Linked DNA regions of Rattus norvegicus. The protein of the gene in region 1 interacts with the protein of each later gene in a pairwise test. Links are inferred from orthologs where the notes say so. Each region holds a gene or a part of one and is shown in the gene's direction. Other genes may lie near its edges.

Evidence for each region. The genes of interacting proteins can lie anywhere in the genome.
Region 2: the proteins of Sf1 (region 1) and Rbm17 interact in binary tests that used the Homo sapiens proteins (3 or more experiments, as listed by UniProt). The link is inferred for Rattus norvegicus from reciprocal best matches to the Homo sapiens genes SF1 and RBM17.
Region 3: the proteins of Sf1 (region 1) and Kpna1 interact in binary tests that used the Homo sapiens proteins (3 or more experiments, as listed by UniProt). The link is inferred for Rattus norvegicus from reciprocal best matches to the Homo sapiens genes SF1 and KPNA1.
Region 4: the proteins of Sf1 (region 1) and Sf3a1 interact in binary tests that used the Homo sapiens proteins (3 or more experiments, as listed by UniProt). The link is inferred for Rattus norvegicus from reciprocal best matches to the Homo sapiens genes SF1 and SF3A1.

The regions. Positions count from the first base shown.
Region 1 is NC_086019.1:213,097,725-213,102,089, forward strand, and holds the start of Sf1 (splicing factor 1), read left to right. Parts: upstream 1-1,556; 5' UTR 1,557-1,943; coding exon 1,944-1,974; intron 1,975-3,545; exon of another isoform or gene 3,546-3,551; coding exon 3,552-3,680; intron 3,681-4,365. UniProt on the Homo sapiens protein: Necessary for the ATP-dependent first step of spliceosome assembly. Binds to the intron branch point sequence (BPS) 5'-UACUAAC-3' of the pre-mRNA. May act as transcription repressor.
Region 2 is NC_086035.1:71,849,906-71,853,470, forward strand, and holds part of Rbm17 (splicing factor 45), read left to right. Parts: intron 1-1,332; coding exon 1,333-1,449; intron 1,450-2,753; coding exon 2,754-2,920; intron 2,921-3,565. UniProt on the Homo sapiens protein: Splice factor that binds to the single-stranded 3'AG at the exon/intron border and promotes its utilization in the second catalytic step. Involved in the regulation of alternative splicing and the utilization of cryptic splice sites.
Region 3 is NC_086029.1:78,259,602-78,263,166, reverse strand, and holds part of Kpna1 (importin subunit alpha-5), read left to right. Parts: intron 1-2,015; coding exon 2,016-2,123; intron 2,124-3,565. UniProt on the Homo sapiens protein: Functions in nuclear protein import as an adapter protein for nuclear receptor KPNB1. Binds specifically and directly to substrates containing either a simple or bipartite NLS motif.
Region 4 is NC_086032.1:83,257,936-83,261,500, forward strand, and holds part of Sf3a1 (splicing factor 3A subunit 1), read left to right. Parts: intron 1-2,448; coding exon 2,449-2,656; intron 2,657-3,564; coding exon 3,565-3,565. UniProt on the Homo sapiens protein: Component of the 17S U2 SnRNP complex of the spliceosome, a large ribonucleoprotein complex that removes introns from transcribed pre-mRNAs.

The DNA.
Region 1 (4,365 bases):
TCTCCAGCCCCCCCTCTACTTAGTTTTAAAGGCTCTTTGGGTATTAGACAGTTGGTTTTTCTTCCACTTTTACAGGTCTGCAGGTGGAGTTTGGGAGTTGCCTATGCCAGGCAAGAGCTCTGGAATTGTATTTTCAGCCCAGACATTTGTTCTTTCTCTATTGTAGGACCATTTCCTCCCTATCTGTCATAGTCTGTTGACTTGTACCACCCACCGGACTTGAGTTTGTCTTTGTAGTCTCTCAATTCCTAGATTACCCTGGTTTCTACATGTCTTCAGATTTTTCTACATCATTTAAAAAAATATATTTATGTCTTATATATTTGAGTGTTTTGTGTGCATGTAAGTCTATGCTCCATATGCATGCAGTGCCTGTAAGGCCAGAATAGGGCTTTGGATTGATGCCCTGGGACTGAGGTTACAGATGGTTGTGAGTCACCATGTGGATTACAAGAATCAAACCTGGATTCTGAAGAGTAGCCAGTGCATGCTCTTATTTGATAAGCTATTTCTCTAGCCACTCTAATTATTTTTAAACATCTTTCCCCCTACTGGGTTGAAATAGCTTGCTTTCTGAGAATCCTATCTATTCTAAGTTCTATTATGTTGCACTAGCCTGTTTTTTTCTGGCAAGAAGTGTTTTCATTATTTTTACATTTATTTTATGGAAAGGCATGTTTGGCCTCAGTTTCATTTACAAGTTCCCTTCCATTTTCATGGGTATGTAATTTTAAGGTAACTTAATCACATTCCCAACACACTGAGATTTCGATGGAAGTGCACACTTAACTTCTGAATTGACTTTCTCTCATTCTAATAACTTTGAGCTCCTAATTTTACTTTATAAGAATTAGAATTACAGGCAGGTGCCATTGAACCTTTTTTTTTTTTTTAAACTTTCTTGAGACAGATATTCTGTACCCCAGGCTAGCCACAAACTCATGTTCTCCCGTATCCACCTCTCAAGTTCTCGGTGACAGGCTACTACTTGGCTACGTTGTCTTTCATCTGAGGATGAAAGTGCTGTTCCATCACCAGGTATTTTCTTACAGAAATTAGCCTTTGCCTCCTGAGTACTGGGATTAAAGGTATGAGCCACCAAGACCGGAAATAAAATCTTTAAACTTACGCAACTACCCTATTTTAGTCATTCTGTAACACTAGTTTCCAGAGAAAACAGGAAGTTCTTCTCTACCTGCGGCGTCGACCTATCAGGTTCGTCAACTCGAGCCCACCCCTTCCCCGTGGTCCCTCCTTACCTCTAACACAATGACTAACGTCACTTAGGGCTTCCGTTCTGGTCCCCCTGGTGTAAGGGGCGGAGAGACCGCGTGCCCTCCCTACGCATGCGTACCTCCTGCCCTCCGCCTTCGTTCCGGCTTCTCCCTTCCCGAGCGACTGATCCCTGGGGGAAGGGAGTCGTTTCAGCCAATCCCGTGGCACTACGACGCCGAGGCGCTTACCTCCATCCTCTTTAGCCAATGAGCTAAACGTTCTCTCTACGTCATAGACTTTGCCCCATCCTATCCCCCGCCACTCTGGCCTCAGAGCTCAGTCCGCGCAGTAACAAGAAGTGCGCGCTGCGACACCTCCCAGTTCACTCGGCCCCGCCGCCATTTCGTCGCCTGGCCTAACGGTTCGGCCAATCCCGACGCGTATTGAAAAGAACTAGTGCTCCGCCAATCGGAGGCCGCTGACTCCGACCTCACCTCGGGCCGGCCCAATCCAGGCCGCGGCCCCGCCGCCCCCAACCCGCCCCCGCGGCGTCCTCTCTCCTCCCTCTTTGTGCGTCTGGCGCCGCCGCCGCCCGCCGCGTGAGAGGACGGGCTCCCCGCGCTCTTCGGGAGCGTAGTCGGGTCCCCTCCCCCCAACCCGCGAAGGTTCGTGAAGGAGAAGCCGCCGCGGAGGACGAGGAACCGCTGGTGCCGGTCCCCTGGGGCGCCATGGCGACCGGAGCGAACGCCACGCCGCTGGGTAAGCTGGGCCTGCCAGGCCTTTCCCCACTTCCTGGGCCCAAAGGCAGCTTCGGGTCGAGCCTAATGGCGTTCGGGCCGCCGCCGCCGGTGGGATCGCTGGGGGTCCTAACCAGGGCCTTGTCCTTAGTGGCGGTGCTGCTGCCGCCGCCGCCCCCAGCCACCTCGTACCCGCCACAGCAGCCGCCCCCGCGCCGCCGCACTCTCAGCGAGTGTCGCCTCCGCGCCAGGACCTGCAGCCGGGCCAGCCCGGTGGCGGCGGAGGTGAGTTGAGCCGATAGAGCACGAGAGGCGTCGGGCGAACCGGACCGGCCGACGGAGGGGCACGGCGCCGCGGTTGTACGCGGCAAGGACGCGCGCGCGTGCACGGGAGGCCTGGACGGACGCGCCACAGGGAACGCGCGGCCTGGTTTGGGAGGCTTCGAGTGCGCACGCGCATCATGAGGAGTAGAAGGGCGGGAGGAAGCGTCCTTTGCGCAGACGCAGTGAGGAGTTCAGGCTTTGTGGCGCAATTCTGGTAGTTTTTGAAGCGGCCACCTGTTGCCCCCTGAGCTCCTGCTATGGAGGACAGGAGGGTCAGGTCCACGGAACGATGTGGTATGAGTGGTTCCTTTGATGGGTTCTAGGAGCCTGAAAGGGGAGATTAGTCCCGTGACAAGAGTATCTCCTTTCACAATGAGGCGAATTCGGAAGGCTGCTAGTGATGTTTGAGTTCGATCATTTATTAAGGCTGTTTATCTCCTTTTGTTTTCTAGAAGGTTCTCAGAGTGACCAGCTTTCCCCGTGCTGTTTTAAAAGGCTTTTTCTCTGGGCCTGTAATCTGAGAAGTAGAAAATCTTGAGTGGTAAAATATCAGAGTTCTGATGACAAGTGTCCATTCATTGGTCAGGAAAACTGAATGCTGATCTTTCCACCTGTGAGAATAGTCATATTGGAGGACAAGATGTTTCCCACAGTAATGTGTAGCAAGAGACTTGTCTGCTCTTGGAGCTTGACTTCAATGTTTTGTGGCCCTATTTTCATCTTTATTGTCTTTTCTGTCCTTTAAGACATTTAGAATTGATCATATGTATATGCTCAATGCTTCCATTCTGGGTTTCTGTACATTAAGACTTAGAAGCAAGGGTATAATGGCTCATGCTTTTAATCCTAGCACTCTGGAGGTAGAGGCAGGTGAATCTCTGGTCTGCATAGTTTATGTCAGCCTGGGTTCTGTAAAGGAACTCTTGTCTCAAAAAACAACCAAACAAAAGACCCAAAGAATTGGAGATGTGCTTCAGTGGAAGAGCTCTTACCCAGCATATGTAAAGACTTTGACGTTGCCAACACCACAAAAGGAATTTACACCTTATTACATTCTTTAGTTCTTTTAGGAAAAAAAGTAAATGTGAACTATTCCGTAACTTTTCTGACAGGAGGACCAAAAACCTTTATAATGGCTGCTTGATTTCTCTGACCTCTGAGATTTCTTTCCTTTTTAAACTTTAGGTGATTTCTGTTTAGTCTTATTGTGAACTGCTTGCTGGTAGTCACTCTTCTGGTTCATATTTCCACCTGATAGACTCTGTCTGTCTTTAGACTTCCCAAGTAAGAAGAGGAAGAGGAGCCGATGGAACCAAGACACAATGGAACAGAAGACAGTGATTCCAGGCATGCCTACGGTTATCCCCCCTGGCCTGACTCGGGAACAAGAAAGAGCTTATATAGGTAAATACACGTTCTGCATCCAGGTGCAATTTTCAGATTGTTACTGCTTATTCTGAGTGACAAACCTGTGGAAAGTCTGAGATTTTAGTCTTGGGAACAGGTGCGATGAGCTATGCTTTCATAACTATGTAAACTGTGATTTGCTTGGCCAGTCCTGCATTCGTAGCTTCTTGTTTGGGCTTGCTCTTCGCAGCAAGTAGGCCTTAGCTCAGCAGCCCACTTCTCAGCTGCTGTTCTTGCTCATTGATGAGGTGAATGCTATCTGCCTCTCTGTACGGGCCCCAGTGGAGAACACTGCAGGTATTGTAAACCAGTTGCTTTTTTGTAGCATGATCTCTCACCATAATGTCATAGTTCCCTTTCCCTAAAATTGTGGTTTTGTTTTTTATAGGTACAAAATAGTTTAAGCAAAAAGTGGCTCGGAAAGTATTTACAGTTCACCCATTTTGTTGAATCCAATCCTTCCCTTCAGTATCCTTTCTTGTTTGGTTTTTAGAGAGCTCTCTTAAAACAAAGGCTCTTGTAATTTACCACCACTAAAGGACTCTGCTGGGAAGGGTTTGCTGTTTGATTGGAAGTGAAGTGGTGGTGGCAGAATTTTAAAAATTAGGTTACAGTCCACAGTAGATTAAAAGTTAAACCTCAAAATTACTTAAAATCCAAGGTCATTAATGGAAGTTTTATA
Region 2 (3,565 bases), on another chromosome or scaffold:
TTGAGGACTATCATCTGTGTGGTTGATTTCTTATGAGGAAGTGAAGTTACATTGTATTGTTTCTCTTGGGCTCTTTGGTGAATTTCTCAGAGTACTAACCAAACTTTTAAAAATACTTGGTATGGAAAAATTTACCTGTATCTGAAAGGTGAAGGTTTGATTTCATTTGTATTTCATTTTTGAAAAATTAAATTTTAAAATGACTAAATAAGTGATTGACATAATGCCCATTATGGAAAGTTAGGGTTTATATTGTGGTTTTGTATATAATACCTTGATGATATGCTGTTTGCCTAGAGCACCATTAAAATCCAGAGAGCTCAGACTTCCTGATAAGAATGAAAGTTTGTACCACTTTAAATTTTAAAACCGAGAAGTTAAACTTTGGTGATCACCGTCAGTCCGTCCGCATGATCTGCCATGGCATCCTGGCAACCTGAGGATTTGGTGGTGTTCACCAGCTTGCTGTACGATATTCTTGTCTACTACCTTTAACCTCAACCTAAACAGGTTTTAGATCTGCTAGAACTTAGAGCTGTAAGTTAGGGAGACATATGTAGCAGCACTTGTAATAACAGTGTCCCAGAGAAAAACAAAGAAGATGGAGGTGGTGTGTGCTGAAGATTTGGAAATCAAAAGCACGTTTAGGAAACAGGGAGGGGTGGTGAGGCGGCTCGGTGAGTGACAACGCCTGATGACCCAAGTTGGATCCCTAGAACCCTATAGTGTAAGAAGAGACCCGGCCCTCACACATGCATGCACACCCAAGTATGCATGCATACAAACATACATATAGACAGGCAGACAGACAGATTGAATAATTGTTGTCTGGTTGGGGTAGTCATTCTAAAAGAAGTAGGATAGGGCTTGCCCTCTGGAGACAGACAGGTAGGTCTGTAAGTTTAAGGCCAGCCATAAAGTGGCCACACTTACTATAAACTGTATAGATAGAGGAAATCTGCTTTTAAAAAAGAGCAAAAGGGAATGAAGCTGTAGCTCAGTTGGGAGTGTTTGCCTAGTTTCCAGGAAGGCCTGTGTTGAAGCCCCTGTGTATAAACTGGGTCTGCTGCTCAGTCAGCACTCAGCGGTGGAGGGAGGAGAACAGGAGTCCAGGTTCATCATCGGCTGCAGAGGGCACTGGAGGCAGCCTGGGCTCCCTAAGACCCCTCAGCAAACAGTAAGCACACTGATTGTGTTAGACTCTTAACTGCTTTAAGGATGATTTTATCTCAGCCAAAGGTTTGTTACAGAGACCAGAAAAGGTGTCTTTGTTGCAAGTACCATGAATTTTAATTTGGATGTTTGGTGCATTTTTCTTGTTTCTGGTGTCAGAGCCAAAGGACAAAGCAAAGTACAGTCCTCGCTCCAGTCATCGACCTGAAGCGAGGAGGCTCCTCAGATGACCGACAGATCGTAGACACGCCACCTCATGTGGCAGCTGGGCTGAAGGTAAGCCGTACCCACCTGTGGTTTGAAGCATTTTCCACGTTTCTTTATTTTACATGTATGTTCCTCTCTTTATGAGATTTATCTCATGTGTGTGTGTGTGTGCGCGTGTGTGTGCGTGTGCGCGCGCGAGTGCTTGAGCGTGCTTGCTCACTCATGCACACACCCATGGAGGCCAGAGGAGGCCTTAGATCTCTTAGGGCTGGAGTTAGGCATTTGTGAACCTTGTGTGGGTGCTGATAACCGAGTTCCCAGCCATCCTCTGATAGAGCAGTAAGCACTGTAAACCTCTGTCCATCTCCAGCCCCCACAAGGGTCTCTTCAGTAGGCCACTGAAAGCTAGTATTATTACCTAAAATAGTTTATTATGGAAACTTCAGGAATGAAAGATGGGTAAAAATGAAAAGTCTATCTTTTTAATCATACATACCTTCTATGCATTACAAAATTACATAATTTTAGAATATCTTTCTGTAACTTCTCGGCCTTCTGCTCTCTAATTTGTGTTTAGTGATTGTCCATTTCTCCTTTTCAAAACAATAGAACTACACGGTCATTTAAACATACTTTTATGAGTGTGTGAGTGTGTTGTCCTCATGTTTCAGTACACTGCATGTGTTCCTCTTGCCTGTGCGGATGCATCCCTAGGATGGTGGTGGGACAGTTGGGGGCCACTGTATGTGTGATGGGAGTGAGACCTGAGTCCTCTGGAAAGCCAGTCAGTGACTTTATTAATGCCTATCTCCAGTCCCTGTATGGCCAGTGTTAATAGTTTCAGTGGATTGCCTCCAGTGGATTAGCTATAACTTCATTCTTCTAATGTAAACCGTAAGGTTATTTCTAACTGTCTGTTACCAGTGTTAGAAGTCATTTTAAAGAAAGGCAAAAGGGGGGGGGGGGGCGTAATGCTGCATGTTGTTAATAGAACGGGCTCCTATTATGAAGCCGAAGGCTTGGGAGTTGTTCATGTCATCCTTGGCTATGTGTCTGTAGCACTGTGAGACTCTGGAGGGAGCACGGGAAGTCTGGAAAATGGTAATCCATTTTCACATGTACAGATGTCACTCAGATGCCAGTTTAAACCTCACTTAAGACTTACCGTGATTGTCAGTGCTTTTCCCAACATAAGCTTTTGCCTAACTGCCAGGTTGTGCTGCCATCTGGTGAGGGGAGGCCTCAACTCACCAGGAAATAAAGGATCCTTAGATAATCTGGAAGGCCTCTCTTGCCTCATCCTGGGACCTTTGCTTCTCTGATAACCCTGCAGGATGTGATACGGCACTCACTCAGGTGTTCTTGTTCCCCAGGACCCTGTGCCCAGTGGGTTCTCTGCAGGGGAAGTCCTGATCCCCTTGGCTGATGAATATGACCCAATGTTTCCTAACGACTATGAGAAAGTGGTGAAGCGCCAGAGAGAAGAGCGGCAGAGGCAGCGGGAGCTGGAAAGACAGAAGGAAATAGAGGAAAGAGAAAAGTAAGCTTCATCTTTTTTGGGGGGGAGGGGCGGTCTTTTTTTCGGAGCTGGGGACCGAACCCAGGGCCTCGAGCTTCCTAGGCAAGTGCTCTACCACTGAGCTAAATCCCCAACCCAGGCTTCATCTTGATGTGGAAACAAGTGTGCATTAGAATCTGAGTGAGTTTTAGTATGGTCTCTGGGCCTGAGGTTATGGCTTCAGTCACCAAGAGTTTCCTTGTTTTCGTTCCATCCCACATTGATAGCACACTTGAGGAAATGTATGTGTAGACTCTGAAGACCTAAAGCGTAGACTTTGTGTGGATTAGAAAAAGAACTTAGAAAGCCCACTGGTATCCAGGTGTGGTGGTTCATGGCTGTAATCCCACCCACATAGTGTTCAAGGCCAGCCTGTTTCAAAATCAAAACAACAGAAACCATTGTTGAAAGTTTTGCAGGGTTCGTGACTGCTAGAATCACAATATTTACAGTATTTCAGTGCTGTTCCTTTACTATATTTTGGTTTTGGTTTTTTGAGACAGGGCTGCTCTGTAACTGGCTGTTCTGGAAATCATTCTGTAGACCTCAAATGTAGAGATCCACCTGCCTCTGTCTCCTGAGTGCTAGGATTAAAGGCTTGGGCCACTACACCTGGCTTCCTTTCCT
Region 3 (3,565 bases), on another chromosome or scaffold:
TCTAGAAAAGTGGCTCTCAACTATCTTAATGTTGCCACCCTTTAATACAATTCCTCCTGTTGTGGTGAACCCAACTGTATAATTCTTTTGTTGCTACTTTGTAACTGCAATTTTGCTACTGTTATGAATCATGTTGTAAATATTTGTATTTCCTGATGGACTTAGGTGACCCCTGTGAAAGGGTCCTTTGACCCGCAAAGGGGTGGAGACTCACATGTGAGGACCACTTTTCTAGAAGCATTAACTTCATCCTTTTGCTGCAGTTAGTTGTAGAGTAGACTTTTGAAAAGGAGACGTGGGTCTTGCCTGATAGTTCTGACCGGTCTGGTAGTCACTGTGTAGACTGTGGAACTCTTGTCAGTCTTTCTACCTCAGCCCCTCAAGCAGAGTCTCTTAGAATATGGAAACTGTTTTCCTTCATACTGGTTTTCAAATGCTACTGTTGCTTCTTTGTATATTATTTTCTTTTTATATATTTCTCCCAATTCTGAAGTCTATAATGATAAATGTTGTTTTTTTTTTAAATTATTCATTGTGGTAGGCTTAATTAAACAATTCTTTGAAATCAGACAGCAAACTTTATAGATGATCTTGATTGCTCTTTTCTTCCTTTTAAACTCTCCTGCTGTACTTAATTTCTGAGTGTGTGTAAAGCTTTGCTAGCTTGTGTCTTCTTTCCTTGTAATTTACATATTTCCCTCCCTTACCATAACCTCCCCTTCCTCTTTTCTTTCTTTCATTTCTTTTTTTGTAAGCACTGGCTACGTTGCTTATGTAGCCCTGACTGGACTAGAATTGTCTACATAGAGCAGTCCTGCCTTCCTCTGTCCTGAATGCTGGGATTAAAGTGCGTGCCACTACACCCACCACAACAGGGTTTTATTTTTGAGGTTACAGGCATGGAAAAGCCTCACTCTGTCACTTTTCTGTGTCTTATAGAAAGGTCATATTTTTTTTTAGTTTGCAAAATTTTATTGACTATACAAGGAAAATTAGCATGTTAATTTTTTGTTGTAAATGACTACACAGTTCTAAATTAGTGAACTGAACCAATTAATATTTTGAAGTGTGGATAATAGTTAACTCTTGAATATTTGCTGTACCAGGTACCATTCTAAGCATTTTTGTGGAGGTAGTCTCCTTGTGTAGCTCTGGCTGGCCAGGCTAGCCTTGAACTCACAAAGATTGATATGCTTCTCTCTCCCGAGGGCCCAGCTCCATTCTAAGCATTTTATAAATTCCTTGTCCTAGTCCTTATCCAGAGTTGCATAGGTGGTTGACATCACCTGAACCAGTAATTTTGAAAGTGTGTTCTGTAGAGTTTCAGGGTCTAGCTGCGTCTGACACTGCTTTTATCGCTCCGCATTCCTAAACTTTTGAGCTGATTGTCCAATATGGTGGCCACTTGTTACAGTTAATTTTTAGCTAGTTCAGATTGTGACGAGTGGTGCAAGCTTAGTAGTAGGCTTTGAAGACATAGACAATATAAAGTATTGCCTCGGAAAATTAATGAGGCTTTAAAAGACACTGTTCATATAGTCATCCTTTGCTGTCATTGACTCCTGGAGATTGACAGCTCTAGAGCCCTCTATACACTGTCCTTGAAGACTGTTAAGATGAAGTGTCCGATCATTTTGATAGCGTTTGATAGCGTCTTTGTCATTTTTTCCTGAAGAAATGTTAAGACTGCCTTCTGCCTGAAACAGGTGTTGAAAGAGATGGCTTCAACATGCCCAAAGTTGTTCTCATCCCTGTGGGTTGTTGTTGTCGTCGTCGTCGTCGTCGTCATCATCACCACCACCACATTTATTTCATGCAGTATCAGGTTTCTCTTGAGAACTGGCATAGATAGTGTGGTAGTTAATTGATTCAACTGTAAGGTTGTAGAGAAAGAATTCTAAAGTCTTTCTCACTAGGAAACACACTAAAGGCAGCACAAACAAAGCTTTAGAACTAAAAAGGTGTTGAATTCCTTTGTGTTAAAATTATGTGACTAACATTCTTATACTTTTCAGTTATTCAAGAGAAGAAATGTTGCTACAGCAGAAGAAGAAACAGAAGAAGAAGTTATGTCTGATGGTGGCTTTCATGAGGCCCAGATAAATAACATGGAGATGGCACCAGTAAGTATGATGGTAAAAAGAACTCTTTGGTGGTGTTGTGATGAGATGTTGGGATTTTTCCTTTTTTAGTTTAATAGAAAGGGTAAGTTAGGGCTGGAGAGATGGCTCAGCAGTTAAGAGCTCTGTCTGCTCTTCCAGAAGTCCTGCGTTCAAATCCCAGTAACCTCATGGTGGTCCTCAACCATCTCTAATAGAATCTGATGCCCTCTTCTGCTGTGTCTGAAGACAGTGACAGTGTACTCACATACATAAAATAAATAAATATCTTTAAAAAAAAAAAGGTTAAGTTAATTGGGCATGGTGATGTCTGTAATCCTAGTACTGGGGAATCTGAGGAAAGAGGATAGTTCCGGGCCCTCGTTGACCTCATAGATACTGTTTTAAAACAAAACAAAACTATAAAGCACACGTGTTGAAACATCTCGTTGTACTTTATAATGTATACAGTGAAGGGCGTATGCTGTACAGAAAGTACATCATAGGAAGCACAGAAAGGTGAGAGGGTTCAGTGCGAAAGGCCTGAGTTCACTCTCTGACTCATGTGGTGGTGGAGCGTGAGAACTGACTCCCTTGTCTTGACCACCACATGCAACTGTGGCATGGGCACCCTCCCCAGAGTTGTCATCATAGAACCAACATACATTTGAAAAACTGGATTCTGTATCAGATAGTTTTGTTACAACTTTCTTGGGGGTTGCATAAAAGATACAGAAATTATGCAGAAATGGATCAGATCTGTTGAGTGTCTGTGCATCATAATTAAGTAATTTTAATTATATTAAATATGCTATGCATTTATGAAAATGTCATTAAAAATCCTTTTATAATGAGCAATTAGTATATGTGTTTTTTCTTTTCTTTTTTTCTTTTTCTTTTTTCTTATTTCTGTTCTTCTGAGACAGGGTTTCTTTGTGAAACTCTGACTGTCCAAGAACTAACTTACTCTGAACCAGACTGGGCTCGAACTCACAGAGATCCATCTGCCTCTGCCTCCCAAGTGCTAGGATTAAAGGCTTGCACCATCACTGCATGGACAGTCTATACATTGTAAAGATAGGTTTTTTATTTTACCTGTGTGAGTGTTTTGCTTGCATGTGTATTGATGTGTGTGTGCCTGATGCCCCTGGAGGCTGGAGGAAGGTGTGAACTCCTTAGATTGAGAGTTATAGGTGGCTGTGAGCTGCCATGTTGATGATGAGATTGAACTCAGGTCCTCTGCAAGAATGGCAAGTGCCCTTAACTGCTGAATCATCTTTTCAGGCCCCTATTTTGAACTGTTCATATAGTTTAAAAAAATCACATGCATACATCTTTGTGGTAGTGGGGATTTAACTCAGCCTTTTTCAGGCTAGACAAACAGCATTGCCACTGAGCCACACCCCAACTCTGCATATAGCTTTTTTTAAAAACAGCCCTGTATTTGCTATTTCAATCACCAAATA
Region 4 (3,565 bases), on another chromosome or scaffold:
AAAAAAATAAATGGGTTGATTGTGTAGCTTAGTGGTAGAGTGAGTATATGTCTCCATGTATAGGACATGAGTTCTGTTTCTAGTAGTGTAAACATCTCACCATGTTTCCAGATGGGTTTTTATCCTTGGTGATCATTTTTGTAGGAATTCTGAAATCTGACCTTGAGATGGCTCAATGGGGTAATGTTTGCAACACAAGTAAAGGTAGGCCACTCCTCAGAGCTTGCTGATTGGCCGGCTTGCTAACATAACCATAGTGGTGAGCTCCAGGTTCAGTGCAAGACCCTGCATCAAAGAATGAGAATGACAGTGATAGAGGAGGGTACTTACTCAGTGTTGGCCTCTGGTCTCCACGTGACCTGACCATAAACATGTGCATGTTCTTCCCCTACCTTCTCATGCTTTACAGTGAAGGGACAGGTCACAATCTTGGTCTTGGAGAGAGCCGGTATTCAGGTCTCTGCTAGGCCACATGCTCAGGAGGCAGGCAGTGGGTGTCTGCAGCCAAGTCTGACCGAGTAAAAGGAGCATTTTCTCTGTAGATGAAATTACCTTCAAAAGGCTCTGCCAGCTGGACTACATGACAGTCAGGCTCTTCTGCTGAAATCTGTTTCTTGTGTTGGAGGAGCTAATTCTAAAATTAACAGGAAGCCAACTTAGAGCGCTGGAATTTCTTGGAATAAGTACATCTGCCTTTGCATGTCTTTTTAAGCGTTCCCTGATGTGTAGAGACCCATGGCTTAGGAGGCAGTACTGCAAGAGACAACCAGACCTATTTTTCTAGAAGCCAGTAGTCTCCATGGGCATTTTCCAGGCATGGTGACCTGATCTGGCAGGACCCAAATCTGTATCCATCCTGTATATGCATGATGTGCATTACATAGGAGGTAGGAAAATGCTTCTTTCCAAAGCATGAGGTTCTGCTTGGACTAATACACAGTCAAATTGAGACCTCATGGTATTAGTCACACTACAGGGTGTAACCAGAATTTGCTAGAGGCTAAGCCTGTGTCATAGATTTGTTGTGATGGCTTTCTTAACCATAAAGTTGCCTGCATCTTGTCTTCTGCTCTGTTTAATTGACAGAGCCAGGGGTATGAAAGTCTAGAGAAAGAGTGGCTTGTCTGGCACGAGTACCTGGAGCCTTGGCTTGGGACACCTCTGAATGCAGGCTTTTGGCCAGAGAATCCGGGAAAGCCCCATGGGCATTTCCTGATAGGCCAGTCATCTCCAGTGTTGGTGGAACTGCCCCTTCTACGTTCCACAGTAGTAACTGTCCTCTGTGTTTGTGGGCATTGTATTCAAGAGTCCTGAGCATCTGTTTAAATGCTACTTTAGTAAACCTTTTCAGTATTTGAAAATACAGTGGAAAAGTGGTATTAGCCACATTTGACATTTGGGAAAGTCAAAGCAACAAACCCTGTGGAATCCTGCTGTATGTGAAACTAGTGAACGTGACACTGAAGGTGTCCGTATCTCGTGCCTTTTAAGGCTTGTGTGCCTTTTAGCTGACACAGATGTTATATGTAAGTGTGATACTTGAAGCTAGGTTTGGTGGCACACTTAACTGTACCTAGAAATAAAGGCAGGCAAATCAGGAGTTCAGGGCCAATCCTTAGCCTGGACTTGTGAGACTGTATCTCAACAAATAAAAGAAAAAACTACGGCCTCGAGTTTTATCTACTGGAACTTTAAAAATCAGGATTCTCCAAATATTCTTTCATTATCCTGGAGGATGGCATTCCTTTAGTGTGGATATAGTGTGGATATATATCTGTATACATGACATGAACACACACATACACATACACATGGATCAGAGTACATCTTGGTGAGAGTCAGTTCTCCCTTTTACCAAGTAGAACCAGGAGGTCAAACATAAGAGTGTCCATCTTGTCAGCAAAGATCTTTGCCCACTCAGCCACACACCATGCCTTATCTAGTATATGTTCAGAACATGGAAATCTTGCAGAGCAATTTTTCCTTCATGAGCCTCCCAGTAATAAATGAAATTACTTTAGGCAGTATCTGAACAAAGCATTAATACTTATTAGCTGTTTTGGGTTTTTTCCCTTTTGTTTTTAAGGAGCTTGGTACCAAATCCAGGGTCTTGTGGACCTTAGATAAGCACTCTACACTTATGCCACATTCTCAGCCAAAAAAATAAATGTTACAAGAACTAAGCAATTGCTCAGCCGATTGTGGGTATTACAGAAGTGGGGGGTGGGGTAAGGAATGGCTGTGTTGGAAGCAGCCAGGCTCACATTGTCAGATGACGCTGACTGATTCCTAGATGCTCAAGGAGCAGTTCTGCTATCCTGAGGGATGGACTGGTTTGGTGAGTGGATGGTGACAAAGGTAGTGAAATAGAAGGAGATTTGGGTCCGAGTAGTCACAGATTGTGGGATTCATTCTTTGTTGTATTCTCTTATTTTAATTTTTTTACAGAAATGGGCCTGAGTTTGAAGCTAGGATTCGACAGAATGAGATCAACAACCCCAAGTTCAATTTCTTAAATCCCAATGACCCTTACCATGCCTACTACCGCCACAAGGTCAGCGAGTTCAAGGAGGGGAAGGCTCAGGAACCCTCAGCTGCCATCCCCAAGGTTATGCAGCAGCAGCAGCAAGCCACACAACAACAGCTGCCCCAGAAGGTTTGGAGCCCAGCCCCTCTTTGTGGGTTAGGGAGGAAGTAAGAACAGGTAGAGTAGGCAGGCATAATTATCTCTACTGTCCACAGTCACAACCACCAGGGGCAGAAGTGAAGTTACCCTCAGCTTCCAGAAGCACTTCTTGAACACTGGTTGGTGAAGCTCTGTCCTCCAGGCTCAGATCTTAAAGAGCCCAGCAGAACAACTGTTTAAGCAAGGCTTGTGATTTATTGATCCAAGGAGTGAGGGTTAATTGTAGCGCATGAGCAACCTTTTAGCCCAGCTGAGCTGAAGGAAGTGATGTAGCCTTGTGTCATCTCTTCCCTTCTGTTGGGGCTGGGGCCCAGGAGTGCTGACTGACGGTCAAGAGTGTCAGTGAAGACAGAGGACCACTGCCTTCTGTCTGCTGGGTGGAACTGGCCTGGTCTCATCATTTTGCACCTTTCTCAGACTTTTGTGGAAAAGGCAGCTTTTTATTTGGCAGTGAGAAATAAAAGTTGAAGTCATGTTTGAAGCCTTGTATTACAATTGCTGCTTGTATGGCCTAAGGCTGCTGTGGTTTTCTCATGTGTAAAAAGTACTCACAGTGCCTGTTCTGTCTCCTGGTTCTCTTGGAAGACGTCGATGTATTTTTTTGCAGTAGAAATCACTGTACACACATAGACCTTACTGTATTTCCAGCCTCTTAAGTCAGATTTTACAGCTGATTTCCTAGATATATTTGCCACCTTTTTAGGCCTTTGATGTCAGAGATGTAGACTGTCTCACCTGAAGCAGATTAGGGAGTTGAGGCACAGTTGCCAGTCTTAAGCCAGTTTCAGTGATGCTCACAATTAATAAAACATTAGAGTCTGTGGCTGTTGTGCTTCATGGTTTACTGCTGTTGTGTTTTGCTCTGCACTCTGTCTTAGG